Linked DNA regions of Notamacropus eugenii. The protein of the gene in region 1 interacts with the protein of each later gene in a biochemical or structural test. Links are inferred from orthologs where the notes say so. Each region holds a gene or a part of one and is shown on either strand. Other genes may lie near its edges. The genes, in order: MYO18A and GOLPH3.

Evidence for each region.
Region 2: the proteins of MYO18A (region 1) and GOLPH3 form a complex in vitro, tested with the Homo sapiens proteins (2 studies listed by IntAct). The link is inferred for Notamacropus eugenii from reciprocal best matches to the Homo sapiens genes MYO18A and GOLPH3.

What each region holds. Positions count from the first base shown.
Region 1 is NC_092873.1:36,661,760-36,677,869, forward strand, and holds the start of MYO18A (unconventional myosin-XVIIIa), read right to left. Parts: upstream 8,242-16,110; 5' UTR 8,026-8,241; intron 1-8,025.
Region 2 is NC_092875.1:429,091,959-429,107,712, reverse strand, and holds the start of GOLPH3 (Golgi phosphoprotein 3), read right to left. Parts: upstream 8,689-15,754; 5' UTR 8,541-8,688; coding exon 8,313-8,540; intron 1-8,312. UniProt on the Homo sapiens protein: Phosphatidylinositol-4-phosphate-binding protein that links Golgi membranes to the cytoskeleton and may participate in the tensile force required for vesicle budding from the Golgi.

The DNA.
Region 1 (16,110 bases):
TTTCCACTTCCATGCTAGTGGTATTTCAAAGCCTCAAACTTTTGACAAAGTGACAATAATACAGAGGACTTGGGTTCCAAACCCACTGGGTGACCATGGGCAACGTCCCTTAACATATTTGTTCAAGACATTGTAGTCTATAAACCTATGTTCTCTTGACCCAGGCCTGGTTCCACTTGGCCAGGGTGGGATACCAAGCGAGCATCTCAGAATCTCCCTCCCCAATTAAAAAAAAAAAAAAGAAGACTCCAGTATCTCTGGACTGGAGGCAGCCTTGTGAGCTCATTCCATCCATCCTCCTGGCAGCACTCCTGACTAATCCAACTCCGAAATGGTTTGCTGTCATTTAAAGAGGTTTTCTCTCAAAGCGAAAGGGCAGTAGACGGTCTGGACTCTAGCCCTGGCAACAATATCTCTGGCTGCACAATCTTGGGAGAATCCCTCTGCCTCAATTTCTTTTTCTGTGAAATGGGGATGGGAGTGGGTAGGGGGTTGGGGAAGTGGACAAGATGATCTCTCAGGACTTTTCTAGCTCTAAAATTCCATGTTTCTTAATTTCCTTTGGACAGAAAGAGGGCACTTACTCACTCATCTGTCACCAAAGGCACCACCCTCGTGCCAGCCGCCAGGCCCTGGGAGAGCTGGGAGATTCTAATTCTGTTTCCACAACCCAGGGCCAACACCTCTTTTCCAGGATGTTTTAAGACCTCATCCACACCCATATCTGTTCCTCAGCCACCTCCCTGGTTTAGTCTTTGGGATTACGCTGGTTGATGTTCAAACAAGAGCAAAGCCTCTGATTTTACTGGCACTGGAAATGTCCGAGTAGAAGCTCTCTCCACCACCAATGCAGACCACCACCCCTCTACAGCTTTAGGAGGTCAATTTGAGGGAGATGCCTAGGATGTGGAAAGGTTGAGAGATAAAAGGACTTGCCCAAGGTCATACAGCTAGTGTTAAAAGCAGAATCTAGTTCCTGCTGAGTGCTTTCTCTACTCAGTTACACTGTCTTTCAGAACAAACTCCCTTCCAAGGTCACTACCCAACATGTGTTACCCTGATTAGAATGTAAACTCCTTGAGGAGTTTACTTTTGTGTTTGTAACCCTGATGTCTGCAGGAGAGGAAAGGGAAAAGGGAAAGAGGAAAAAACAAGCATTTATATAGTACCTACTATGTTCTGAGAACTGCACTAATTAAGCACTTTAAAAATATTATTATCATCATTATCATTAGTGTTGCTGCTGCTGTTGCTACTTGATCGTCCCCATTTTATAGTTGAGGAAACTGAGGCAGAAAGAACTTTAAGAAAAACTTGCCCAGGGTCACATAGTTAGGAAGTGTCTGAGGCTAGATCTGAACTCAGGTCTTCCTGACTCTAGCTACTGTACCACCTAGCTTCTTAGCACAGTGCCTGGTACACAGTAGGTCCTTACTAGATGTGTTTTCAGTCATTCATCTATAATACTGACTCTTAACATCTCAGACTTGGTGGGGACCTTAGTGGCCACACAGACTCACCCGTACCCAAAAAGCATCTTCACCACAACCCACCAGATGTTGCTCAGACCTTCTCTCGAAGACCTCCAGTAAGAGGGGACCCCACTGACTCTTAAGGCAACTTCATTCCACTTCTGGACCACTAGAACAGGAGTCGTCTCTCCTGACCTCAGGCCTAAAATGCCCATTTTGCAGATTCCACCCATCATTCCTGGACTGGCTCTCTTTGGCCAGAATAAGTACAATCCCCCTCTTCACAGAACAGCCCTTCAGGTATTTGAAATTAGTCAAGTATTCCACCTCCCTCATCTTAGCCCATGGTCTCTGCTCATCCTCATACGAGGTGTGGCCTTCCTGGCCAGCCCCCTCTTGATGCTACAAATGATTGATTCCTTTGTCCCCCATGAAGGGACCCCACTGTGGGCTGGGGGTGGGAGGGAATGGGCCTGCCTGCGAATTCCTTTTCCACTCTGGCTCAAAGAATGGGAGCTCTTGCTTCTTTGTTATACTACTTTGATCTGTAAGACCTCCTTCCATCTCTCCCAGCCTCTAAATACTTAATGAATCACAGAATCCCAGCCTACAGAAGCTAGAAAGGACCCGAGGAATCCTGGAATTTCAATCCTCATCCCCTTTTTTCAACATGCCAAGCCAACAACTATATTAACTTAGCATTGAAGCCGTGCCATGGGCTCCCAAGAGTCAAGTTAGTTAGTTTCCATGACAAGAGAATATGGTAAGAAGGCGAGAAAGAAAGAGGAACACAGAGCGCTCACAGAGAGGAGAGATCCCACTTGGATGGGGAGAAGGCTGAGGAAGCCATTTGCTCCATCATCTCACTGGCAATGGTGTCATTCCCATGATGCTTTCTGTGAGCCCTCAATGAAAAAGCTCATGACCCAATGGTCCTCTTCATCTATAAAAGGCCATAGAATTTTAAATAGGAAAACATTATCAAGAAAATGCTTCATCTTAAGACTGTTTCTACCTGAACCCCACCAAAATATAGGAGAAGAGGACAGGTAATTCTACAATCGCATTTGTGGAATATTCTCCAGTTGTTTCCCCTATACCCATCTCTTCTGGGAGGGCATGTCAGAATTGTGTCCCCAATTTATCAGTCATAGGAATAAAGATCTCAGGTCTTGAGCTGGAAGGGACTTCCTCTTTTTACGGATAGGGAACCAGAGGCCCAGAGAGGTAAAATGATTGCCGTTTGTGACCAGGTAGTGAGCATCACTGGCAGGATTTGAACTCAGATGCTCTGACTAGAGTCAGAGCTCTTTGAGTACTCTGAGAGGCTGAGCAACCAGGCCATGTTCAATCTTTATCCACCGCCCCCCCACTCCCAAATTCCAAATCATCCCTGTATCAGGCTGCCTGGTTGTGCTACATGACTTTAAATGAGGACAGATTTAAATGGGTCACCTTCCTGTTGGGGTGTCAGAAATCCTAGGGACAGAAGTTTATAGAAAAAGTCATCAGCCCCCAGGCCAGGGAGTACCTGGAATCTACTATGAGGAATGGGTCAAGGCAAGGACTACTCTCCAGGCCTCCCCTTCTCCATCCCTGTCCAGGCCTGACTCATAAATAAAAACAAAGGAAATGCTTTGCTCTCAGATGATGGGCCTTCCTTCCCTGGCCTCTGACCTGTCAGAGAGGCCATTTCCTCCAGCTCAGGGGATTTTTATCTCCCAGCTGTCCCCCACAGTGACCACTTCTCCAAACTGCAGACAGAGGTTAATCTCAACACATGAGCTGGTGAGCTGGCTAGAAGCGGCCCAGCCCAGCCTAGCCCAGCCCAGGGAATAAGGTGAGGAGGGGCCCACCTGGGCCTGTTCTGCTGAGCTCGCAACAGTCTGACTCACCACTCAGTCACAGGGTGCTTATCTGACTCCAGGTGTATTCCAAACCAACTACACATGTCTGGCGTGACATCAGCCGGCAACACGCTAGCTAACTTTCCCTGCCCCCCCCCCCCACGTGGGGCGCCCAGAGTCACAGCAGCCCCTCCCTGGCCATTTATTGCCACTCAGAAAGGGAAGGGACTGGCCAGACAACAGCCCCAGCCATGCCACAGCTCCCCACAAAGAATGCAAGAATCTCATTGGCCCAGCAAAGGTAGCCAAAGACCCTGTTTCCCCACTGGTTAACCTGCCTCTGTTTGGCTTCCTTGATATCTCTTCTTTCTCCAAATACTCCTGATCTTGGGAAAAAAACCCTGCAGGAGACTCCTAATGGAAATTTTCAAATGACAGCTCTGTCCTTAATCCAGTGATTTTGAACAACTCAGTTCCCATCCCTGTGCCTCGGTTTCCTCCTCTGTAAAAGGAGGAGTTGGGGGAAGATACTAGATTGTGGGCAAGACCAGCCATCTTTTCCCACCTCCTCATTTTGTAGGAGGCATCTCCCCGAGCCAGTCAGGAACAGTCAGGAACAGTCATTTGCCCAAGGTCACACATCTATATGTAGCCAGCACAAGAGTCAAACCCAAGTCTTCTGGTCTCTAACAATCTTTCTGGACTCAATTATCTCAAGCTTTCTGTCCAGTTCCATGACCTATGACCTCCAGAAGGTTCAACTCTACCAGTACCTGTTTTCAAAGGCTTAAAGCATCTTTCTTGAAAAGAATTCCCTTTGATTATTAACCATGATACATTCAGCACCTCCCCACAAAGCCCAGACATTGGTCCAAGGCATAGCCCCCAGACCTGGAAAGGGCCTTGGAGCTCATCTAGACCAACCTTTTCGTTTGACAAAAAGTAAGTAGTGGAGGAAAGATTTGAATACGGGTCCTCTGACTCCAAATCCATGGAGCTGGATGGGCCACCTAGTCTCATCCTCTCATTTTACAGATGAAGAAACTAAGGCCTTGGGAAATCAAACAACTTGTCCAAGGTCACACAGATATAAGCAGCATCAGAGGCAGGATCTGAACCCAGGTCCTCCCAGCCCAGGCCTGGAACAAGGGAATGCCAGGTCTGCCTCATCCTATTTCAATTCGCTGGGTGACCCTGATCAAACTCTGAACACCAGGTATCTCATAAAAAACCCGTTGCTAAAGTCTGCAAAATCCCCAGCAGAGAAAAAGAACCTTCAGCACCGCAGCTTAAACCACTGAGTGAGTAGAGGTTGTTTGAAATGTCAGGGGAACAGAGATAATTTACAGGCCGCACAATTCCTACCTCGAGACAAAGAACTGGTCAAAAAGATGGTAGCTGTGGAGGAGAAGGGGGGCTCCCACTCCTCTCTAGGCCCTCTCTGATCCCCTCTCCAGCCTGTCAGCCTCCAGTGATGTCCTACCCCCCTAAGAAATGTTCCTAAGCTTTCTCCTCAGACTGTCTAGAAACAGGAGGGTGGGATGTAAATTCAGATCCGAAGGAACATGAGGCCCACGACCAATCTGGGACTGAGAGCAAGCAAGCCCCCTGTCTCGGACCCTCCCTGTAGACAAGCCAGGAACAAGTGATTTGAGCAGCTCTGCTGCCTAGACCCATCAGCTGGGGCCAATCAGATAAATTCCCTTCTCCTTACTCACCACGCTCAGGTGATTACTTCCTCCCCTGGGGGGGGCCAAGGTACCCCAAGAATCTGGGGAGCCCTGGGGCCCCAGGACCCAACTGCCAGCAGTTTGGAATCTGGCCAGCAGGTCAGGAAAGCAGATCAGTTGGAGGCCTGTGGTCGTTCCTGCTGCTCAGCTTGGCCTGCTCCAGATGGACAGTGTCTGGCTGCAGACAGCCCTCTACTACACAAGGCAGGAAAGGAACCACACGCACACCAAAAAGCCCACCCCAGCATTGCCCTCTGAGTCTGTGACCCAGCACAGCAAGGAAGCATTTAGTCTTCCAGACTAGGCAAATAAAGTAAGTACTCCACCCCTCAGCAGGGTGGTTTCTCTCTTTAGGCCAGGCCCCAGCCTCCTGGCTGCTCCGCTCCACCCAAAACTCCCCTGGAAGGACCTGTGGGACTTCTGTGGGACTGGCCTGTCCCAGCCTCAGAGCCGTTGGACAAAGACCAGTAACATGGGCTACTAGTTTGGGCAAGAAGAGGCAATCAGAGGCAACAGAGAGAAACAGATACCCCAAGAAGACCATAACTGAGATCCTGAAGAAGAGAGGGTAGGGGTCAGGGAGCAGGACTTGCAAGGGGAAGAAACAAGGGATGGCACTGCCTTTCTTTGGATTCCTAGCACTTAGTAGTACCTGGCACATAGTAGGCACTGAAGAAGTGGTTACTGATTGACTGAGGAATCCAAGCGTAAAGTCTCCAGCTTCCTTCAAAGGACAATTCATCATGCCATCGATGTCCTATCTGACCCTTTCTTGCTCCCCACAATCAATCAGCAAGCATTTATGAAGCATCTACTATGTGCCAGGACAAATATTAGGTCTTGGGAAGACGGTGTCAATCTTTCATACAGGGACATCCAGGCCCTCTGCCCTAGACTGGGTGTTGGTGATGGGCCCAGTAAACAAACTGTAGGGCAGGAAGGTAGGCCAGCCAGGGGATCAGGCCACCCACAGTTCAAAGTTCAGTTCTTCCACCAGGAAGTTTATCCACAAGAACGCCCATACCACTCCTGGCACTGATGCCCCATTAAACCTTCTTCCCTTGATCTCGGGGCCTCTACCTATAGAGAAGGCACCCTCCTTCTCCATCCCCAGAGTCTCTCCTTTCACCCAACATGAAGACATCAATAGATGGGCAAACCTCCACCCAGTGCTATATTTAACTGGTAATGACCTGAAAGGGAGGCCATTTCCTGGAAAGCCTGAGATCGTGAACAAAGGAGCCAGAGAGGAAGCTCAAGAGGCAAACATCAAGAAGGAAGCCTTGACCAATGGAGGAGCCAGCCAAGAGCTGGCCAGAAGCCCCAGGCTCCCGACAAGTGCCAGCATGGGCATTTGCAACATCCCCAAATAGAAACTGGCCCCCAAACCAACAAAAATGGTGGCAGCAGCAGGATAAGCCCCATTGACATGGAAACAGGTCTGTTCACTGCTTAGCCCAGAAGAAAGAGTGGACCTCGAGGGTTTGGTTCACAAGTGCTGTATGACCTTGGACAAGTCATTTAACCTGTCTGGGTTTCAGTCTCATTGGTAAAATTAATTGGTTCATGAGGTCTCTTTCAGCTCTAAAACTATACTATAATGTGATCCTGCCCAAAGAAAAGACCAATTCTCATTCCTCAAAGAACAGATTGGCAGAAAGGCCCTGGCCAGACGGGACCCCACAGAAATGCCCCAAGCCAAGGGAAGCCTGTCAGGGTTCTGGGACAGCTGAGCTAGCCAGCAAAAACAAAGCACTGAGCATCATCAGCCCCAGTGCACTCTCTCCTTTGAGCTCCTGCTGTTCTTAAATAATCTGTAAAGAGCACATGTGTCTGGGAGATCTATGTGCCCATGTGTGCCCGCCCCCTTCTTCCCAACCCACTACGACAAAGCCAAACGTGTGTGTGCTGTATCTCCTTCTGCCCAAAAACATGACCACTCCTTGCCTAGCTTAGAATGGCAAGGAACCACCCCCAGGGAACCCCGGGAGGAGCAGATAACCCCCACGCCTGTCACCCAACTAACTGGCATGACAGGTTAGTGGGGCCGGTCTCTCACCCCTGCCCCAGGCTAGCCTGCTTCCCTTTCTTGCTCTGCCTCCTCTCTATCCTCTTTGAAAAGGTAAATAGGGAAACAGGCTGAGGATTCAGAATCCCCCAAGGCCCAAGGATTCCCCCAGCCATCTTTGCCTGTAGTGGGAAGCGGAGGAAGGGGGGCAGTGGGCATCAGGAACCAGGGTCGCCTTTACTCCATTGTTTTGCCAGCTGTCTGGCAGCTGCTGGGGGGTGGGGGGAGGGCTACACTGTTTTGGCAGTGAAAGGGTGAGGGCCGAGAGAGAGGATAATGGACTCCAATCTCATTTGCTTTCCCCCTCCCCTTAAGGCTGTCAGGAGAGCCTGGGCCTAAGGCAGTGCAGCCCCCTACTCCTAAGTCCCATGTACCCCCCACCCAGACTCACTAGGGGCCAGGGAGGGGAGGGGGCGACCTCACCGCCACCCTACTCCCACGCACGGACCATTCATACAGTACAATGCACACCCCCAGAGCTCCCTCCGAAATAAAGGGCACCCCCCGCCCAGGAGGAGGAAGGGGGCTGGGCGCCCGGCCCTGGCCGTCTGCCCCCCGCCGCTGCAGGACAGCGCCTGCCTCTCCTCTGCACCCTTCGGGTCCGAGGGCGTCTGCAGCCCAGTCCATGCCCGGGCCCGGCGCCAGGGGCCCGGGGAAGGACGCGCCGGCGTCTTCTCGTGCACTCCCAGCGCCAGAGAAGGGCAGGGGAAGAAGCCGGAGCCCGGGGGCCGCCGCGGCTTCCCGGGAGGGGGGGAAGGAGGAGAGGAGGAGGAGGAGGAGGAGAGGAAGGAGGGGAAGAAGGAGGAGGAGGAGAAGGAGGAGGAGCCCGTCCGCCACCCGGGCCACCCCCGGCTCCGGCTCTCAGGTTCTCCGGCTCCCCTCCCGCCCCGGGCCAGGCCCGCACTCACCGGCCGCCGGAGCCCGCCGGACGAGCGGCCAGGCAGGAGACGCAGGGACGCGGCATGCACCGGCTAGGGCTCGGGCCCGGCCCCGGCCCGGCCCAGCTCCAGCGCCGGCTCCCAGTCCCGGCTGCAGCGCACGCAGCAGACCCCAGCAGAGGCCAGCAGAGGCGCTCCGAGCGAGCCCAGCCGAGCCCCCGAGCCGCGAGGCGCCGCCCCCAGCCCGCCCGAGCCCAGCCCAGCCCAGCCCAGCCCAGCCCAGCCCTGCCCAGCCCAGCCCAGCCCTGGCACCCGAGCCCGGCCCCGCACAGCCCAGCGCAGCGCAGCGCAGCCGGGCCAGTTCAGCCCTGCTCAGGCCAGGCCCGCGCAGCGCAGCGAAGCGCAGCCCCGCCGCCCAGCCAGCCAGCCCTGCCCATCCTAGCCTAGCCCTGCCCAGCCCAGCCCAGCGCGGAGGAGGGAGCGCCCTGCTGGTCGCGCCCGGGATAAACACCCCGGCCGGCCTCGGGCTCCTCTCGGCCGTACGAGCACCGGGACCCTGCTGGCCGCCGCCGAGACGACAGGACCCAGGGCCGCGCTGCCCCTGCCCAAAGGGGACCGCTGGGCATTTCGTTATTGCCCGGGGCAGACAGGCACAGGATTCGTGCTGGCGCTGCCTGAAATGGGCATGGGCCCCGAGGGCACAGAAGGAAAGGTGTCTGTTTCGTGCCACCGTGACCCCTTTCGGTGAAGCTCCCTGTACAAGGAGACCAGCAGAGAAAAGCCCTCCTGATCTTGCTAGGAGAGAGGATTGGGAGTGGGTCAGGCCTTTCTTTGTGTGTATCGACTTAGAGAGGAGGGGGAAGGAAGCCCACTCCCCCAAAGCATCTACAGGGCTGAAGACATACCTTGATGCCGTTTCCCTTAGTGCCCAGAAGAAAACTAACCTGGGAGCTACCGCGAGATGAAAGGGTGCTACAGGCCGGGGTTGGATAGCACCCCTTGGAGCTGGACCAGGGGTTTTTCCAGGCTTGGACGAGCCCCATCCCGACAGATCAGAGAGTAGTAGTGAAAAGAGAACGGGGAGGGGTGGGGGGAGCCTTCTGCCTCTTTTTTTTTTTTTTTTTGGTTTGTTTTGGTAATTGAATAACATACCAAAAAAAAAAAGCTTAACGGATATGCATTTAGGTCATTTGCCCTGAGTTCCCTCCTGTCTTGCCATTGTCTCCTATACTCCTGTCTCTGATGAGCGAGGCCAACCCCTCCCTTAGTTCTGCTAATCTTTCCTGCCTCTCTGGCAGACCCTCCCCCCCTTCCTTAATCATCCCCTTTCCATAATCTTTAGTTTCTCCACATCTACCGTCTCCTCCGCCGCCTACAAGCATGCCCGTCTTTCCTCATCTTTCACGTGATGCTAATATCCCCTTAAGCTCTCACTTTTTACCTCTCTTTTCTTTCACTGCCGCACTAGAAAAAAGCTGGCTACACTCTGCACTTCTCACTTCTTCATCTCTTGCTATATGGCTTCCGTCCTCATTTTTATCACTGGACTGAAACTGCTTGTTACAAAGTTACCAAGATCTCTTTAATCACCCAGTCGAAGACCTTTTTCTCAAGCTTCATCCTTCTTGATTTTGCTTCAGTATTTCACACCTTTGATCATTCTCTCCTGTTACTCTGTCCTCTCTGGGTTGTTGTAGCCCAGTTCTCTCTTGATTTTCCTCCTTCCTATCCAGACACCTCTCTCTTTTGCTGGATCATCACCCATGTCCCACCTCCTGAGTGCATCCCAAGGCTCTGTCCTTTCCCTCTCCTTCCCTCTCTCTCTCTCCCTCTCTTTTTCCTTCTCCCTCTTTCCTCATATCCTATCTGTCTCTGTCTTTGTATATATGTGTGTGTGTGTGTGTGAGCATCCATGAATTAGATTCTTACCTTTTTGTAAGTGCCTCCCAGATCTCTGTAATTAGTCCTTGTCTCTCCCCTGATCCCTAGGTATGCATTGCTTATCACCTAGACACCTACTGGATATTTCCAATTGAATGTCACATAGGTATCTTAAATCCAGAAAGTCCAAAACAGGATTCATTATCTTTCTTTCAAAACCACTTTGCTCCTAACTTTTATATTTCTGTCAAAGGCATCATCATCCTTCCAGTCACTCAGGTTCCCCACCTCAATCATTGACTCTTTACTCTTCTCTGTCTCTCATAACCAGTCACCATCTTGACTCTTGTCTCTACCACTTCAACACCTCTGGCATCTCCCGCTTCTCTCCACTCACACAGTGACCACCATAGTTCACTTTCTCATTGCCTCTCCCCACTCAGTCTTCCATTCAGCTGCCAAACTGATATTCTTAAAGCACAGGTTTGATCATGTCACTTCCCTGCTCAAGAAACTCCAATGACTCAGTTCCATCCAGGATAAAATGTAAATCCTGTTGTTTACCTCTTAAAGCCCTTCACAGCCTGTGTCCAGCCCAGCTTTCCAGGCTGATTACACATTACCATCCTCCATGCTCATTCCAGCCAAATTTGCCTGCTAGCCATGTTCTTCATAACATACCATCTGCCACCATTCCTTTGCACAATCTGTCCCCATGCCTGGAATGAACTCTCTCCTCACCTCCAACTTTTAGGATTGCACAAGCTCCAGTGCCACGTCCCCCCAAGTTTTAGTGTGTGTATATGATAGCCCAAAAGTATTCATGCAGTTGTTTTTGGATCACCCTGTATTTCATATTTTATGTATATTCTATATTTACATTATATATTATACTTTTACCTATATACATATATATGTATGTTTGTTTAATTTGTGGATGTATTGTTTTCCCTCCCCATTTCCCCTCCCCTATTAGAATATAAGCTCCATGAGGTCAGGGACAGTTTAGGTTTTGTCTTAGTATTCTCAGTGCTTAACAGAGTGTCCAGTATATCCTAGGTGCTTAATAAAGGCTTCCTGATTTGTTTACTTCTTTTAGCCACAGATTGGCTATTTAGAGGGCAGCATGCACTTTCCTCAAAGCCCCATCTTACCTGAGCCCAAGGACCCATTTGAGGGTCCTCTAGAACCCCTGAAGATGATATTAGAAAACAAAGGATGGCTTCTAAACTGGTCTTGGTTCAGGCCTTTTAACTGGTTAATCTCAATTCATTGAGGATTTATTAAGCCCCTGCTGTATGCCAGATCTGAGGATAGAAAAATCTAGTTGCTGCCCTTGAGAAACTGGAGGGTTAATATTCCTCACTAGCTCTGTCAATGCCCAAATAAAAAAGATCAATGTCCACACTGCTGGAATGGGTATTCATGATTATCTAGTCCAGACCCCACACCCATTTGACAGATAAGGAAACTGAGGCATGGAGTGGTTAAGTAACCTAGGAAAGCCAATGTCTACTCACTGCCTTTATTTTCTCTATTCCCACTAACTTTGGAGCCCCTCTAAAGAAAAAAACAAACCTGGCTGTCAACTCAGCTGAAATTGATCTACATGAGTTCACCAATGATATCTTATTTGACGAATTTGCTGGGTTTTTCTCAGACCTCATTCTTTTTTTTTCTGTGTTATACAATCACTTCCATATATCTTAGATATTTTTCCCCTCCCTCCCCCTCCTTCCCCCCTACTTCCCCACTCCCTCCCTGAGATGGCATACAATTTTATATAGGTTCTACACATACATTCCTATTGAATACATTTTCACATTAGTCATGTTGCATAGAAGAATTAAAATGAATGGGAGAAATCATAAAACAAAACATAATACAAAAGAAAATTATTCGCTTCATTCTTCAATCGAATTCCATAGTTCTTTCTTTGGATGTGGAAGGCATTTTGCTTTAAGGGAGATCATTGAGAATTTTTTAAGTCCTTGCATTGCAATGAAGTACTAAGTCTACCAGAAAAATTCCTTGAACATTGTGGTTGTTGCTGTGTACAAAGTTCTCCTGGTTCTGCTCCTTTCACTCAGCATCAGTTCATATAAGTCTTTCCAGGCTTCTCTGAAGTCTTCCTGCTCATCGTTTCAGTAGTTACAGTAGTATTCCATTATATTCATATACTACAATTTATTTAGCCACTCCTCTATTGATGGGCATCCCCTTGATTTCCAGTTTTTATCCACCACAAAGAGAGCTGCTATAAATATTTTTGTATATGTAGGACCCTTTCCCATTTTTATGATCTCTTGGGGATACAGTCCTAGAAGCAGTATTGCTGGGACAAAGGGTATGCACATTTTTGTAGCCCTTTGGGCATAGTTCCAAATTGTTCTCCAGAATGGTTGGATCAGCTCACAGCTCTATCAACAATGAATTAGTGTTCCAACTCTCCCACATCCTCTCCAACATCTACCATCTTCCTGTTTTGTCATGTTAGCCAGTCTGATACGTATGAGGTGGTATTTCATCCAGACCTCATTCTTTCCAACTTCTCTACAGCATTTGATACTGTTAGGCACCCTCTTCTCCTGGATATGCTCTCCTCCCTGGGTGTTTGTGATCTTGCTCCCCCGTGGTTCTCCTCTACCTATTCTGACCGCTCTTTCTCAGTCCCTTTTGTTCGATTATGATTGATGGCCCACCACCTTTGCATGGGTAAGCCCAGGACTCTGACCTGGACCCTCTTCTCCCCTCTCTCTATATTCTCTCTCTATGTGATCTCAGCAACTCCTATTTGTTCAACTTTCATCTCTATGCAGATGATTTTCAGATCTACCCACCTACTTGTATACCTACCTATCTGTATGTCTATCCAACTATTTATCCATCCACCCATCCATCTATCCAACTATCTATCCACTATATATCATCTATTCATCCACCTATCTACCCATCCATCTATCCTACTGTCTATCCACCATATATTGTCTCCAACTATCTAGCTATTCATCTATCATCTATTTAATCCAACTATCTTTCCATCATCTGTGTATATAATATATAATATCTATAGATCCATATCTGTCTAGATAAATATGGACCTAGATATAGATGTTGATGTATGAATATACAAACTTTGTCTCTTCATTCTTACCTCCTTTCCCAAGAATCAGCATGGTATAATGAAAAATGTACTGTATTTGGAGTCTAAGTTCCTGGATTCAAATCCTATGTTCTGCTGTTTACTGCCTATGTGACCTTGGTCAAATCATTTAATTTCTCTGGGTCTTTGTTTCCTCATCTGGAAAACGGGGGTAGAGGATTGACCTCATGACTTTGACATCCTTTCCATCTCTAAATCTGTGATCCTCTTGGATGCCCTGTACTTGTCTTATACTTGCCATATACTAAACAGAATCATTCTCTTTCCACCACTGCCAAATCTCCTTTGATCTCAGCATCCATACTTCTATGAAGAACACCACCATCCCTCCGCTTGTTCAGATGGGCAATCTCAGAATCATGCTTGTTTCCTCTCTGACCCAACCTGTCCAATGAGTAGCCAAGTCTTGTCTCATCTACCTTTGCAACATCTCACATCACCCCGCTCCCACATGCTACCACCCTAATTCAGGTCCTCATCACCTCTCACTTGGACAATAAGAGCCTCCTACATGGCCTCCCAGGCTCCAACCTCTCCTTGACTCCAATCCATCTTCCACACAGCTGCCAAAGTGATATTCAAAATTGGGGATGTGACCATGATAGTTACCTCCTTCAGAAGCTCCAGCGACCCCCAGCTCTGTCTAGTGTAAAATACAAACTTTTCTATTTGGCATACATTAAAAACCCTTCCCAGCATGCCTCCAGTTGCCAGACTTACCACTCTCTTTCATATACTCAATGCTGTGGACCCAACATTTCCCTTCCAGGGTTTTTGCAGTCTGTCTCACACCTGGAGTAAAGCATTCCCTCCTGACTTCCCAATTCTTTTCATCTGTGACTTCCTTCCAAGCTCAGATCAAGGACAACCTCTTCCACCAGCCTTTCCGGATCTCCTAGGCTCCTCCCGCCCTTGCCTTCTGTAAGGAAGTATTTGGCTTATCTTTCATAGTTACCTATTCAGGTGAATGTTATTTGCCATCCAGAGAGTTCAAGGACCTTAAGAGCAAGGTCTTTTTCATTTTGTCTTTGCATTATTCCCAGCACCAAGTAGAAAGCCTGGCTCACAGTGGAATGAGTCAGTAAATAAATGGCACAGTGGATATAGGTCTGTGTCCAAACCCAACCTTTGACCCTTACTGACTGTGACTTTGGGCATGGCTCCTCTTGGCCCTCGTAGAAAATGAGACCATTGAACTACATGATCTCTGAGGTTAGTTCCAGCCCCAGAGATAGTGGTGGTAGTAGCATTAGTATTAATTATAGTACTAGTAGTGGTAATAGTGGTGGTAGTTTAGATTTTAGAATATTGTTTTGGTTGCTGTGTGGAAGATGGATTGGACTCAGGGAGAGATTGGAACCTGGGAGGCCATGTAGGAAGCTCTTACTGTCCAAGTGAGAGGTAATGAGGGCTTGAATTAGGGTGGTAGCTTGTGGGAAAGGAGTGATGAGAGATGTTGCAAAGGTGGATGAGATAAGACTTGGATTAGGATTGGGTAAGGATAGGATGGATGAGAGAGTAAGGAATCAAGCATGGTTAACATTAGTATTATCTGAAGTACTAATAGTGGTAGTGGTATTAGAATTAATAGTACTAGTGGTGGCAGTGGTAGTACTAGTATTAATAATAGTAATAATGGTAATATTATTGGTGGTGGTAATTAGTATTAATTACTTAATTAGTATTAATTAATTATTAAATACTACCAATAATTACTAGTGTTAGTATTAGTATTAATAACAATGGTGCTGTGGTAGAAGTATTAATTTTAATACTAGTAGTGGTAGTGGTGATGGTAGTAGTGGTAGTAGTGTTAATATAAATAGTAGTAGCAATGGTGGTGGTAGGGGTAGGGGTAGTGGCAGTAGTAGTGGTAATGGTGGTAATAGTAGCTGTAGTAAGTAGTAAAAACCATCCTCCATAAAATAATCAGCACTCTGACTCTGGCAGCTAGGTGGTGCACTGGACATAGCACCAGTGCAGGAGTCAGGAGGACCTGAGTTCAAATCTCACCTCAGACATTTGACACTCACTAGCTGTGTGACCTTGGGCAAGTCACTTAACCCCAATTGCCTCATCCTGGGTCATCTGCAGTCATCCTGATGAATATCTGGTCACTGGATTCAGATGCCTCTGGAGGAGAAGTGAGGCTGGTGACCTGCACAGCCCTCCCTCACTCAAAACAAAGTCAAGTGCAAGTCACATCATTATTTCTCTGATGGCATGGTCTTCTTCGGCAATGAAGGACAAACACACAACAGTACATAGAGTGTGGAATCAGAAAGCCCAGCATTCACACCTGGCCTCAGACATTTGCTAGCTATATGACTCTAGGCAAGTCTCATTTTCCTCATCTGCAAAATGAGGATCATCGTAACAGCCTCTATTTCCCAGGCTTGTTCCAAAACAGCATAAGTAAAGAGATTTGCCAGCCTTAAATTGCTAGCTACTATGAGTAAATTTATCTGACCACTGTCAAACTGCTAACAAACTGTAGTGAAAGATTTATGTAGTGAAGTAGTAACAAGGCTAGATTGTAGAAGGCCTTGAATGTCAAGCTAGAGAGTTTGCTCTGTCTCATGGGCCCTGGGAGACATTGAAGGTCTTTTAGCAGAGCAGTAATACAGTACAGTACTTTCGACCTCACCCTGAGAGTGTTTAAAGATGCAGGAAGGGTGGAAAGTCAGGAAGAGGAAAGGTGAAAGGGGGATGTGAAATTATTTCATCATATTCATTCTTCAAGCACAAGTTACTACCCCAAATAAGACTCCTCCCCTTTCTTGGTCAAACTCCTTGAATTTTTAGTAACTGAACAGATCCTGGAAGAGCAGGAAAGGACACGGAGACAGAGGACTGAGCTGACATTTGCAGTCATGCATTATTTACTTACTGATCATTAACTCCTTCGAGAAGTTCCTTGTGGGGGTTTGTACTGAGGATCTTGAGCTTTTCCACTGAGGCCTTTCATCTGTACTAACTTAGGCATCCAAGAGGCTCCTCAAGAGGACCAGAGGGGAAGGAGGACACAGTTAAATGAAGCAAGACTTTATTAAGGAGGTGCCTATCACAAA
Region 2 (15,754 bases), on another chromosome or scaffold:
GCTCTAAGCCTACAATTTTAACATAATAAACTTTCTACAGTACAGAAAGTTTGATGTTACAGTAATAATTGAATTAATGAGGATACATTTCAATAACATACCTTGTTAGCATCTCAGTCACTAGAAAAAGGAATAAATACAGAAGGCTTTAAAGGATAGATTAAAAAATATCAGAAACTGCAAATAAGAGTACTAAAATATCACTAATATGAACTCAAAATTGTTGGAGTTTCTCTTTTTTTTTTAAATAGTTAATTTCTTTGAAAGAGCTTCTTTCTCAGAGAATGTTTTAATTAAGTACTGCCCTATTATTCAGTGAAGGTTATTAATGATTAACAATAACTAGCAAAAATAAGGACAGGGACTACACTTCTGATTTCATTAATATATGAAGTCACTTTCAAGGGTTTTTAAGGTTGTTTACACAGTTGTATAAATAATAAGACCACCAAGTCCAAGAGAGCAAATAATCATCAACTTAAATGTTTTGTCACAGTCTGTCAAAATAGCATTTGATAGCATTTTACTATTTACAAAGCACTTATGCCAAGAAAATCCTTAAATCTGCTATGATTATGAAACAAAATTTATCCAATCTTCATTAAGATCTCAAATTATCTTCACTCTAATATGCTTGCAAAGGCAGAGAAATGTGTTGCTACAATACACATCAGAAAGTTTTAAAGTTGGAGAAGTCAAGTAAAAAGATTTTTGGTTAACATAAACCAATATGTGCCACTGAACATAAATTCTGGTCATTTAAGGTCTCATAATGTAACAAATTTAAATTTGCTCACTAAGACACTAAGCATCTCTTTCGTATTATAAATCTGACTCTATTACAATAGATAATCATAAACTATTGACCACATGAAAGAATATTGCAATCACTAACTGCAAATCAAAACAACTCTCAAGTTTCACCTCTTACTCAGCAAACTGGCAAAGATAACCAAAAATGTCACTGTTGGAAGGGCTGGTAGAAAGATAGGCACAGTGCTGCACTGTAGCTGTAGCTGTGAATTGACACAATCATCATGACACAATCCAACAATTTTGAGTTCATATTAGTGATATTTTAGTACCCTTATTTGCAATTTCTGATATTTTTTAATGTATCCTTTAAAGCTTTCTGTATTTATTTCTTAGCATTATGCTAAGAAAATGACTAAAAATGTCTGTATCCTTTGACTCAGAGATTCCAATGCTAGGCATATACCCCCAAAAAGGTCAATGATACAAACAAAGAACAAAAACTAAATAGATGACCACTGATTAGGAAATGGTCAAACTCTAATCATGGTACATAAAAATAATGGAAATATTAGTAAACTATAAGAAACAGCAAATAACAAACCAATGACTAGTAAAGCATGGAAAGACTTACATGAACTGATATATACTAAAATAAGCAGAACCATGAAAATAATGGACACAATGACAACAAAGTAAATGAAAAGAACAACAAAACAATCTAAACTGAATGTTTTAAAATCACAATGATTGGATTGGGCATGGATGGCCCCAAGAGATCTGAAAAGACTCCACCTCACTAAGACTAATTCCGTTAAGTCTTTTCTGATGTGCTGATTGGCTTTGCTGAACTTTTTTTTCTTTTCTTCCTCTTCCTTTATTTTTGCTATAAAGGACAGCCTTGAGGGGGAAGGGGGGCGAGTATGAGAAGAGATTCAGGGGTAAATGTAGGTTATATAAAATAAAAATCTATTTTAAATTCTTAACTATTTTGGTCTGCAATTAAAGTATTAATACTAGGTCTAATTTCACTCGTGCTAACTATATTATAAATATGCTCAATTTCAAGACTAAGGTACAACACAGGTGAATTTTCAACCAGGTAAACTGGGTGTTGCCCCATTCCTTTTTCCCAAGATTTCTGTGCATTTTCAGAGATAATTATGTTAGTTCCTACCAAGTTCCTAACTCATCTAAGCCCAGTCATGTGTAACTACCACCACTTTGCCCTACAACCAACAACCTTTTTACTTCAAAAACTAAACTAAACTGAACTAAATAGTATTCATCACAAGTTACTGAAAACTATGATTTGTCCCCCGCAATGCTATGTTTATTGGCTTCTTGGTTACTATGATGGATTTGGCTTTCTGGTGTCTGAATAAATGTTTCTGTTAAGCTTTCCATATGGAGGGTCTGTTATACTTTTTGAGTTAGAACTATGCAGGCATATTCAGCATTATTTATAGCCTGCCAAGAGATGTGTGACCTAGCAATCAGATGACCTTTATTGTGAGTCAATTGTCTCCAGCACAACCATAACTATTCTTATTTTGCAACATTCCCCCAACCACATCCCTTTGGGCAAAACCAGGTAATAAATGCCTTAAGGCAGTTACAATTCAGAGGCAGCAAAGTGTTCCAGTCTAGTGGATAGGATACTGTACTAGGAATGAGGAAGACCTGGACTCAAAACCAGACTCAAACTTACTGGAACAGTGATTGTGGGCAAGTCATTTAACCTCTCTGTACCTCAATTTTCATTATCTGTAAAATGGAATCCAAGGTCTATATGTTCTCTTCCAGGTCTAAATCTACGATCCTATGTCGTAATCTAAATACTACTAGGAACCCACAGCAACAACTAGAACAGGTCCTACTCATCCCATCTACTCTCATCTTGGCATGTCAGGAACTCAAGGAGGTGGGCTCTCACCCTGCTGAAGAGAAAGATAATAAGAACCCTTGATATAGGATCAATCTCTAACCCCTCCTCCATAAATTCAGGGGTATCAAATTTTAATAAAATTTGTGGGACCACTAATCTGTACGTAAGGATCCCTGTGGGCTGCATACTGACTTAGTTTTAAAATGTAATGTTACACCAATTTTTTAAAAATGCACTTGGTTAAATATTTCCATTCCATGTTAATCTGGTTTGGGCTGCACTCAGAAATGCAGACCAGGTGTTTAATACCTCTGGGCTAATTCTTTACATAAAAGAGAAAAAAAGCTGACTCCCAAGACTTAATTGGACAGGGCCTCAACCGAAGCCAGAGAAATGGCTTCCTGGTGGCCTCAGACTTTGAGGGAGTGGCTTCCTGGTCAACTGTGGCATAAAAAGCCTATCCAAGGATTTGGTGGCTGTCCCAAGGACACACTTTGCCTGGCTGACCAGACTTTCCAGTATGGAAAAGAAAGGAGCTAATTTAACAGTGCTAAGTGTTGAATCACTGTATCCTTTCTACACAAACATTTGTAAATAACTGCGATTAGTTTTGGAACCAGGAAGCAATATCAGGTTTCTTCACAGAAAGACCACTGATCACTCTTCTTTTCTTAAGAAATAGTTTAGCTTAGCTAGCACAGTACCTAGTACATAGTAGGCACTTAGCAAATGCTAAATACACCAATGCGTACAGTTAAGCTTGCTTTATACCTATTTAATTAAAATACATGAATTTCAACATGTAAAACATCAACTTTTCAGTAAGCCCCTCTGAGTCTCCTACATTGGCTATCCCTAACCATTAATTGCCATGTACTTTTCATTTTATATGGCCAGTTGTTAAGGTACTCTGTTCTTCAATCAGAGTTCTTTCTACTAAGCCATGACGTTTCTCAATAATCTCTGGTTCTAGTCATCCAACCAATTCTGAACCCACCTTACAGTACTATCTTATCATTCAATCTACACACTTCCATTTGTGAGATTGTTAAATGTCATGCAGAGACCCAAGTAGTGTATATCATATTTATGGAAATCTATGAACCTAGTAACTTTTCTACTATGGGGGAAAAGATTGATCATCAAAATCAACTATATTAACCCTCTACAAAATTACAGCCTCTCAAAGCAATTCTCCAATTATGACTAGCGTTGAGATCAGCAAGGTATCTGGGATAGTCACAGCTGAGCAATTGTAGCATGATGGAAAGATACTGGATTTAAGAGACTAGGAGCCCTGGGTGTAAATTACTGCTTGTATGATCTCAGGCAAGTCGGAGAATCTCTCCTTGATTCAGTTTCTTATATACGAAATTAGAGGATTACAACTGCTGATCTTTTGGGTACCTGTGAGTTCTAAATCCAATTACTCTGATCATATCAATCACACTGAAAGCACTGCAACTCTTAAAATGAAGGAAATAGTTCAAATTACTTAAAGCCTGATTCTACCACTAAAAAATATTAAACTGTCTAAATTTCAAAATAGCAATTAAACAAAATCAAATGAAAGACTAAGGGATAAATTATCTTCATGGGAAAAATAAGAATACAGAGAAAGACCCAAAGAATTTAAGCCTTCACAAAATGAAAACAGACCAATGCAATTTCTCACTGGTCACCTCAAAACTAAAAGTTGTTTTAAATTGAATTTCAGAAAGAATTTTTACAGCTAAGCTCGGGGATAAAGGCCTCATTTCTAGAATATATAGAGAACTGACTCAAATGTATAATCATACAAGTCATTCCCCAATTGATAAATGGTCAAAGGATATGAACAGGCAATTTTCAGAGGAAGAAATTAAAGCTATCTATAATCATATGAAAAAATGCTCTAAATCACTGTTGATTAGAGAGATGCAAATCAAAACAACTCTGAGGTACCACATCACACCTATAAGATTGGTGAACAAGAAAATGATAAATGCTGGAGAGGATGTGGGAGAGTTGGAACACTAATTCATTGTTGGTGGAGCTGCGAGCGCATCCAACCATTCTGGAGAGCAATTTGGAACTATGCCCAAAGGGCTACAAAAATGTGCATACCCTTTGACCCAGCAATATCGCTACTAGGACTGTATCCCCAAGAGACCATAAAAATGGGAAAGGGTCCCACATGTACAAAAATATTTATAGCAGCACTCTTTGTAGTTGCCAAAAACTGGAAGTCAAGGGAATGTCCATCAACTGGGGAATGGCTGAATAAATTATGGTATATGAATGTAATGGAGTACTATTGTGCCATAAGAAATGATGAACAAGAAGACTTCAGAGAGGCCTGGAAGGACTTATATGACCTGATGCTGAGTGAAAGGAGCAGAACCAAGAGAACTTTATGCACAGCAACGACCACAGTGTGTGAGAGTTTTTTCTGGTAGACTTAGATTTTTGTAATAACACAAGAACTTCTTACAAAAAAAAAAAAAAATCCCAATGGTGGATCTCAAGGCAAAATGCCTTCCACACTCAGAGAGAGAAATATGGAAGTCACTCACATAATGTAGCAGATCATGTTTGTGTATGTGTATGTGTTTGTGTATCATGTTCTGATTTGTTATACGATTTCTTTCATTTATCTTAGTCTGACTACATAGCATGACTATAGTGAAAATATACTCAATAGGAAAGTATATGTAGAATTTATACAGAATTGTATGCAGTCGTGGGGAGGGAGGGGGGTAGTGGGGGGCAGGTGGGGGGGATAAAATCTCAATTGTATGGCAGTGATTGTTAAACATTAAAAAATAAAAATAAAAAAAAATAAAAAAAAAAATTAAAATCCCAATGGTGGTTCTCTAAGGCAAAATGCCTTCCACACTCAGAGAAAGAAATATGGAAGTCATTCGCAGAATGTAGCAGATCATGTTTGTGTATGTGTATGTTTTTGTGTATCATGTTTTGATTTGTTATATGATTTCTTCCATTTATTTTAGTCCGACTACATAGCATGACTATAGTGAAAATGTACTCAATAGGAAAGTATATGTAGAACCTATACAGAACTGTATGCAGTCATGGGAGGGAGGGGGGTAGTGGGGGGTAGGTGTGGGGGGGATAAAAATCTCAATTGTATGGCAGTGATTGTTAAACATTAAAAAATAGTTTAAAAAAATAATAATAAAATTTAAAAAAAAATAAATTGAATTTCAAACAAATAAATATAATATTTCCATAACATTATAAAACACTGGCTTTCTACTAAAGAGTTCCAAATAATTCCTTGTTTCCTTTGCTAGATCTTCAACCACCACAATCCCACTATCTGTGGTCAGTCCATAAGGCTTCCTTCAAAGGTTTCCTCTCTCTTACCTCTACACAAAATCACCTGGAGATCTCATCAGCTACCAAGAGTTCAATTATCATCCTCATGCAGATGGCTGATTCCCAGATCAATACATCTAACCCTAGTTGCTCTCCGGAACTCCAGTCTTTTGTCACCAACTGTCTCCAGAATAGCTCAAACTGAATAACCTATAATCACCTCCAAAATAGAACCCATTCCCTGTAAATCCTGCCACCTTGTGAATTTCCCTACTGCTGTCAAGGAATCCTCCCTGATGCCCAGCTTCACAATCTCAATGTCATCCTAAATTCCTTACTCTAATTCACCGCACGTATCCAATCAGTTGCTAAATTTTGTCCATCTTTCTCTCCACTCACAGTTACAACCCTAATTCAGGCCTTCATCACCTCTCACTTGGACTAGTGCAAGAGCCTCCTAATTAATTGGAATTCCTGCCTGAAGTCTCTTCCCATTTCAATCCATCCACTCCAAAGTGGCTGCCAAAGTAATTTTACTGAAGTCTAGTGATGATCATGTCACCCCCTACTCAATCAAGTCCAATGGGTACTTCTTACCCACACGATCAATTTCAGAATCCTGTTTGCTACTTAAAGCTCATCGAAACCTGACCCCTTCTACCTTTCCATTCTCCTTATATACTTTAGGAACCAGCCAATACTAATCCACTACTTGCTGCTGCTAACAGTGGCCATTCTATCTGGAGCCACAGTCTCCATGTGTTCTCCCTCCTCTGCCTTAACATTCCTGGCTTCTTTCAAGACTCAATTTGAATGCCACTTCCCCCAGAAAGTCTATCTTTGGTCTCCACTCTTCCTCAACCCCACTTCTTCACCCTCCACACCCCCAGCTACTAGTCTTCCCTTCCATCTTTTCCAGGATTCCTCGGCTATTAGAATTCAAGATCCTTAAGGACAAATTTTTTGAATTACTCAGTATTCCCAGCGCTTGGCTTACAGCAGAAGTTTAATAAATGCTTTTTGGTTAAAAACAACTCTTGTACAATACTGCATTTATTCTTTGATATTTATGAAACAGATAAAGAACAGGCATAACATACCCATCTATACTTGGAAACTGAAAATACACCAAGTTAAACTTGGTCAAAGACACACAGTCACTGATTCATAGAACTAAGGCTAAGCAAGAGAGTAGGAGGCACTGCAACACATTAGACCTAATGCTTTTAAGTTTTTTGTTCCCTACACCAGTATTCTAAAAGAATGGCAACATTGGTTAATGAAAACCAAAAAGTTAACACAGAATATTACCTATCTGGGATAAAGAAAGGTTAAATTAGGATAGAAAAACTAAAGCCTCAGTACAGAAATTCTATGCCCATGTTCATGAATTTTGAATAATTGTACGCAAAAAATAAAATTTACTGATTCTTCTTTTGAGTTTGCTCCTCAATACCGCAGGCCTGTGGTTACTATGTTGAGTTAAAATACATATACACTAGATTGAGATGTAGCACTGCCCTGACAGGGAGATAATTTATGTCTGTTTACCTCCTGTCTTGACCAAAATGTCACCAGAAATACAACTAAATTCTTTTAAAAAGTTCAATTCATAGTAAGAAAAATTGCAACACTCTAAAACCATTTCTTTTTAATATAGCACGGATTTTTAAAAGTCTTTTAACTTTACAAACTATTTTACTACAAGACCAAATGGTGCTTCCCACAATAAACTCTCCTTTAAGAAAATAATACCCAGCAAAAGTTTGGTGGTTAAAAAAATCTAGATTCTTCCCTATTTATCTCTTCCCATCCATTGACAAAAAATAAATCAACCAGGCAGGCTTATACGCAAAAGTACAGAAAACTTCCTGGATGAGCTTCAGCCGACTGGACAAATACAGACCTGGGTTGGGGGGGGAAGTGCAAGGCATTGATACTTTCAAACTGCCACTAAAATGGTTCTTGGTGTCTGGCGTCTAGAGCTTTCCCCTGACCTTTGAGATCTCCCTAACTTCTCTAACTGGGGTCAGACGGTTTCTTCCTCTTCCCAGGACCTGCGGCCGACTTAAGCCCTAGGAGTTGGGGGGCGGCTGGGCTGCCTAAGTGGATCACCCCAATTTCAAGGGCAAGCTCGATTTACCACGAGCACCGCGGAAGGGCTACGGGGAAGGCGCGGAGGGATGGTGGACAGGCGGGCATTACTAAGCAGGACTCCGGGCTAAGGAAGCGCTGTGGACTTAAGGGAATGGGAAGAAACGCTAAGCCATATGTCTGGAGGCCGGCTCAGCGGCAGCCCCCTCCCCAGGGCCGGGCCGCCCGCCCTCCGCGCCGGCATGGGGGCCGGTACCTCTCGGTCCTTCAGGCCCAGCAGCAGCACCTCCTCCATCAGGGTCAGCCGGGTTTCCTTGGAGTCGCCCTTGTCGTCGTCGTCCTGCTCATCCCGGCGGCTCTGCTCGTCGTCGTCGCCGCCGCCGCCCCCTCCGCCGCCGGCCGCCCGCTCCTTGTCGGCGGCGCTGCGCGAGGCCTCGGTGCGGCGCTGCACCAGGCCCGAGCTGCGCTGGGTCAGCGAGGTCATGGCTGCGGCCGGGGCCGCGGAGGTCGGGGGCAGCGGCGGGGCTGCGCGGCGGGACGCCTCGGCTTCGCTGCCCGCTAGCCCGCGACGGCCCGCACGGGCTCCGCTTCAGGCGCTGGGGCGACGTCCGGCTGCGCGGGCGCCCGCGGGAGTCATGGAGGATGGGCCTGGGGCGGCTCGCTCGGCGGCCGGGAAGAGGCCGGTGCGCGGGCAGGGAAGGGGCTCCTGCTCGCGGGGGCGGCGGCGGTGACGGGGGCGCCGAGGTGGAAGCGGCGGCCGCGACTTTCCCCCAATATGGCGGCCCGGGCTGATGTCACCGGAGGATGTGGCAGAGTCCGCCGGGGCTGGGGGGAGGGACCGGAAGAGGCGAAAAAGGACGGGGGTGGGGGTGGGGACGGAGGGGCGGGGAGAGCCCTGGGAGGGGGCGGGCGGGGGTCGGCCCGCTCTGTCCCCGCCCCCGCTTCCTAGCCCTGGAAGCCACCTCCCCCATCTCGTGACCGCCTCCGGGGTCCTCCTACGATCTCCCGCCCAGCTCCCCCGCTTTGGGCATGCGCTGGAAAAGTGACCCGGGCTTTCCGAGAACCGCGCGGAAATGAATCCAGCCTGCGCCCCTCCCCCGCGGCACTCTCTAGGAGAGGCGCTGGGAGGGCGGCGGGCGGGAAAGAGGAGGGGGGAGGGAGAGAGGGGTTGGGAGGGCGGGGCGGGGGCGGGGCGCTGGGAGGAAGGGCGGGGCGGGGGAGAGCCGCTGAGAGGGGGGAGGGGGAAGGGGGAGAGCCGCTGAGAGGGGGGAGGGGGAAGGGGGACAGTTGCTGGGAGGGCGGGGCGGGGAAAGAGAGTGGCTGGAGTCCACTTCAAAGACGCCTCTGAAACTTAAAGTAGGCGGAGTCTGGGAAAGTCAGTTACCTTCCCCCGGGTCAGTTTCCCAATCTACAATATGAAGCAGGTGGACGAGGTGGCCGCAGAGGTCTCTGCCACGTCTAGACCTCGGATCTTGTGATTTGTCCACTCAAGTCATGGCCCTGCTAAGATTTCCAGAAAGTCCAGGAGGATGTGTGGTCTGCTGGTCTAAATAAGTGCAAGAACTTCTGCCAGAGTTTACAAGCTTGTGAAATGTGGCTGTGCAAATCTTATCCCCATCTTCTCTCTTGTCCCGTAGAGCAAGATAAATTTCTATACCCCATTGCCTGTATTTCTTATTTCCTAGTTGTATGCAAGAACAATACTCAACAGTTGTTCCTAAAACTCTTGAGTTCCAACTTCTCTTCCTCCCTTCCTCCCCACCCATCCCCTTTGAGAAGGCAAACAATTCAATATAGGCCATATCTGTGAAGTTTTGCAAATGACTTTCTTAACAGTTGTGCTGTGTAAGACTAACTATATTTCCCTCCATCCTATCCTGCCCCCCATTTCTTCTATTCTCTCTTTTGACCTTGTCCCTCCCCAAGGGTGTTGACTTCTAATTGCTCCCTTCTCTCATTGCCCTCCCTTCCATCATCCCCCCCACCCTGCTTATCCCCTTCTCCCCTACCTTCCTATATTGTAAGATAGGTTTTCATATCAAAATGAGTGTGCATTTTATTCCTTCCTTGAGTCAAATGTGATGAGAGTAAGCTTCATGTTTTTTCTCTCACCTCCCCCCTTTTTCTCTCCACTGAAAAGTCTTTTACTTGCCTCTTTTATGAGAGATAATTTGCTCCATTCCATTTCTCCCTTTCTCCTCCCAATATATTTCTCTCTCACCCCTTAATTTCATTATTTTAAGATATGATCCCATCCTATTCAATTCACCCTGTGCTTTGTGTGTGTGTGTGTGTGTGTGTGTGTGTGTGTGTGTGTAATCCCACCAACTACCCAGATACTGAAAAAAGTTTCAAGAATTACAAATATTGTCTTTCCATGTAGAAATGTAAATAGTTCAACTTTAGTAAGTCCCTTATGACTTCTCTTTGCTGTTTACCTTTTCATGCTTCTCTTGCTTCTTGTGTTTGAAAGTCAAATTTTCCTTTCAGCTCTGGTCTTTTCATCAAGAATGCCTGAAAGTCCTTTATTTCATTGAAAGAACATTTTTTTTCCCCTGAAATATTTATTATACTCAGTTTTGCTGGGTAGGTGATTCTTGGTTTTAGTCCTAGTGCCTTTGACCTCTGGAATATCATATTCCATGCCCTTTGATCCCTTAATGTTGAAGCTGCTAGATCTTGTGTTATCCTGATTGTATTTCCACAATACTTGAATTGTTTCTTTTTAGCTGCTTGCAATATTTTCTCCTTGACCTGGGAACTCTGGAATTTGGCCACAATGTTCCTAGGAGTTTCTCTTTTTGGATCTCCTTCAGGAGGTGATCAGTGGATTCTTTCAATATTTATTTTTCCCCCTGGTTCTAGAATATCAGGGCAGTTTTCCTTGATAATTTCATGAAAGATGATGTCTAGGCTCTTTTTTTGATCATGGCTTTCAGGTAGTCCCATAATTTTTAAATTATCTCTCCTGGATCTGTTTTCCAGGTCAGTTGCTTTTCCAATGAGATATTTCACATTATCTTCCATTTTTTCATTCTTTTGGTTTTGTTTTGTGATTTCTTGGTTTCTCATAAAGTCATTAGCTTCCATCTGTTCCATTCTAATTTTTAAAGAACTATTTTCTTCAGTGAGCTTTTGGACCTCCTTTTCCATTTGGCTAATTCTGCTTTTGAAAGCATTCTTCTCCTCATTGGCTTTTTGAGCCTCTTTTGCCAATTGAGTTAGCCTATTTTTCAAGGTGTTATTTTCTTCAGCATTTTTGGGGGTCTCCTTTAGCAAGGTGTTGACCAGCTTTTCATGCTTTTCTAGCATTTCTCTCATTTCTCTTCCCAGTTTTTCCTCCACCTCTCTTACTTGATTTTCAAAATCCTTTTTGAGATCTTCCATGGCCTGAGACCACTGAATATTTATTTTGGATGTTTGGGATACAGAAGTCTTGACTTCTATGTCTTTCCCTGATGGTAAGCATTGTTCTTCCTCATCAGAAAGGATGGGAGGAGATATCTGTTCACCAAGAAAATAACCTTGTATAGTCTTATTTTTTTTCCCTTTTTTGGGCACTTTCCCAACCAGTTACTTGACTTTTGGGTTCTTTGTCAAGAGTAGGGTATACTCTAGAAATCTGTAAGATCTCAGTTCCTCCAAGGTGGCACAATCAAGCATGTACACTGGTCTGGGAGATGAAATAGATTTTTGTGCCCAGAATCTTAGCAGTTTCCTCTCCACAGCCACCTGGCCTCCAGTTCCGCTGCCATTCAGTGTGATATAAAGATCAGCTCCCTCAGGGCCTCTGCACAGGGCTAAGGTAAGAATCAGCTCCTCAGTGCCCCCAGGGTTTTTGTGATCCAACAATGGATACGGGCTGCTGTAGGGGCTGCTGTGGGAACTGCTGCCACCTGCCCAATGTGGCCTTTGCAGCTGCTGCCTAAGGCGGGAGCTATAGGAAGGCCCTTCTCCCTTCCTTGCCAGCTGAAAAAACCCTATCACTGACTTTGGGCACCTGTGGGTTGAGGGATCTGCGGACCCGCTGCTGCTGTGACTGAAGATTCCACCCCCGAGGTGTCCTCCTCCCAGAGCCACCCCGCACTGCGTGGCCAAGGCTGGGCTAGGCTCTGCTTGGTGTCTGGTGCAACAGATGTTTCCCATGGGCCTTTCAGGTCACTCTGGGCTGGAAATCTCCTCCACTCTGTTGTTCTCTACTTCTGCTGCTTTAAAATTTGTTGAGAGTCCCTCTCTATAGGTATTTTATGGGCTGTGTGGGGAGAGCCTGCATATGTGTGTCTTTCTAATCTGCCATTGTGGCTCTGCACCCCCAACCATATTATCTTAAAAGTAAATTACATAAATCCTTTTTTAATTATTTTCTAGTAGTTAGAGAAAAAGAAAAATCCAGTTCTATATCTATCAGACTGACAAAAGTTGACCAAAAAAAGGAAAATGACAACTATTGGAAGGTCTTCAAGGGAAAAACTGGAAGGTTAACATACTGCTGATGAAAGTATGAACTGATCCAGCCATTCTGGAAAATAATTTGTAACTATACCCAAAATATTACTAAACTGTTCATACTCTTTTGACCCAGCAATAAGGTTCATATCTCACCTCAGACACTTGACACTCACTAGCTGTGTGACCTTGGGCAAGTCACTTAACCCCAACTGCCTCATCCTGGGTCATCTCCATCCATCCTGATGAATATCTGGTCGCTGGATTCAGATGGCTCTGCAGGAGAAATGAGGCTGGTGACCTGCACAGCCCTCCCTCACTCAAAACAAAGTCAAGTGCAAGTCATATCATCATTTCTCTGATGCCATGGTCTTCTTCAGCAACAAAGGACGAACACACCACTACTAGGTCTACGCTCCCAAAGGGAAAGCAAAGGAAAAGGATATGTATGTACAAAAATATTTGTACTGATTCTTTTTGTAGTAGTATAGAGTTGAAGACTAAGGGGATGCCTATAAATTGGAGAGTGGCTGAAGAAATAGAAATATATAATATACAAATATAATGAAATACTGTTGTGCCATAAGCATTTCTGAAAGCAGCAGTTACAGAAAAACATGGAAAGACTTGTATGAATTAATTCAGAATGAAATGAGTTACACCAGGAGAATGGCTTACCTAATAACAACTTTGTAAAACAAGCAACTTTGAAAGATTTAATAATTGTTATCAATGCAGGGTTCAACCAAGACTCCTGATAACATATGATAAAGCATACTACCTTCCTGCATCTTGACTGAAAGGATGGTTTTCCAGTGCAGAATGAAACATTTTTTTTTGGATTTGGAGAATACAGAAATTTGTTTTGACTGTTCACATTCATAGTTTTTCTTTTTATTATTACTTTTCAGTGAGAAGGGGGTGTGAATGGGTAGGAGATAAAATTGATGTTAGTTCTTTGAAAATAAGTGTTTTGATCTATAATCCCTTATTCCATCTATGACCAATCTACTTACTTGATATATACATAACCATACATACACACACACAGACATATACAGAGCGGGGTGGGGGGGAAGGAAAACTTCTAAAACGTTCAATAAACATTCTTGAGAATCTATGAGAGGACATGGACAGGAATAGGACAGAATCAAAAAGATCAATTATGATATCCACATTGATAGATCACAAATCCATTGTACCATTAAGGTATGGTACATGCCTCATATTTAAATTCATACTATTTTAGAGCTTAAAGGAACCTTGGTAGATGTAGTCTGACTTCCTAGCTTGACTAATGAGAAAACTGTGATTCAGAGACGTGCCCAAGGTCACACAGCTAATTAATGGCAGAGCTAATACTAGAACCCAAATTGCCTGACTCCCTAATCAAGTGCTTTCATGACACCACATTGAATTCTTACTTAATTTCATTAAATGTATTTGTATACTTTAAATACCTATATGGTTAATTAAATTTTAAGTTCCCTATAGTTTGCTAGGAGTTATAGCCCTTTTGAATGTACAGCCTACCCTAACGTGACAGGACAATGAGCTAAGCTCACAATGTAATAATGTAATCATGGGAGTGAGCAGGATTGTAAAGGGAAAACTGTGTAGCCTTTATGATTTCAAGCTGTTCTGTGACACAATCTCATTTTTTTAAATACTAGCTTTCTTCCTGTGAGATAGACAACCCTGATCACTGGGGTGGATGTTATACAGGAAATAACAGTAATTCATATTTATTTGTATAGCGTTTTAAGGTTTGCAAAATGCTTCACACCTCTCTCTTTTGAGCCTTACAAAAGCCCTGTTGTGAAATAGATGCTATTAGTATTTCTATTTTACAAATTAAGAACCTGAGACTTTCTCACTGTCACAGTGTCACTCAGCTAACAAGTATCTGAGGCAGGATCTGAACAGAGGCCTTTCTGATTCTAAGTCCTTAGATAAAAACTTTTCTTGTTTTCTGTGCTAATGACAATGTCCCTTATACTAGAAATGACAGAACCAAAATGGCTAACAGGAAATCAATACACAAAATAAGGAGATAATAGCACATCTAATTGCCCTTGATCGATCAATCAATGAATCAAAAAAATATTAAGTACCTACTATGTGCTAAGCTAGGTTACAAATATAAATATTGTATTTTAATATTAATAAATAATTAATAAATAAATATTATTATGCTTACATTCTTATGGAGAGACTGCTAGAGAATAAATGTTTGTCCTTCATACTTGAAGGGCACTAATGACATCATGATGTTGGGGTCAAGGTACAGTGTGACTTAATGTGGCTGATCAGACTAACATGAACTCGGAAGGCTCTCCCACAGGGCAGGCACAAATAGTCTGAATATTTAGGATGGAGATGCCTGTAGATTTGTACATCCTCTTGATGCTACTACAATTCTGCTTTGCTCACAGAGCACACACCTTTGATGAAGGCATGTCATAATGGGCAGTCTTGTGCCACTGTCTCCTATGTCTTAAACTGACACTAAAGTTCTTCAAAGAGATCTTGAAAGTGTCCTTGTATCACATCTCATGATGTCTGTGTGACCATCTGCCTTGTTCGAGTTTTTCATAAAATAGTCTTTTAGGTAAACATATGTTTGATGTTCAGGCTACGTAGTCATCCTATCAGAGTTGCACTCTGCAGTAGAGTTTGAATGCTTGGCAGTTCAACTCAACAAAAGACCTCAGTGTCTGAAACCTTATCTTGCCCGGTGACCTTTAGAATCTTCCTAATACAATTCAGAGGGAAGCAGTTCAATTTTGTGACATGGTACTGGTATATTGTCCAGGTTACAGAGGCATGCAATAATGAGGTCAGCACAGTGGCTCTGTACACCTTCAGTTTAGTGGATAGCCTAATACCCCTTTACTCCCACACTTTGAGCTAGTTCTGGCTATGGGTGCATCAACCTCATCATATATGTATATATTCTTGGAAAGCGTACTGCCAGTGTAAGTGAACTTATCCACAACATTCAGAATTTCTCCATTTGCTGTAACTGATGATTTCACATATGGATGGTGTGGTGCTGGATGGCGGAGGATCTCTCTTTTCTTAGTGTTGGTTGTCAGGTCAAAATTAGCACAGTGGCAGAGATTCAATCCATATTCTGTTGTATATCAGTCTCAGAGGCTGTGGCGAGCACATAATCACCTGTGAACAAAAAGTCATGAACCAACTCTTCCTTCACTTTAATCTTGGCTTATATCCTTTTCATGTAAATAA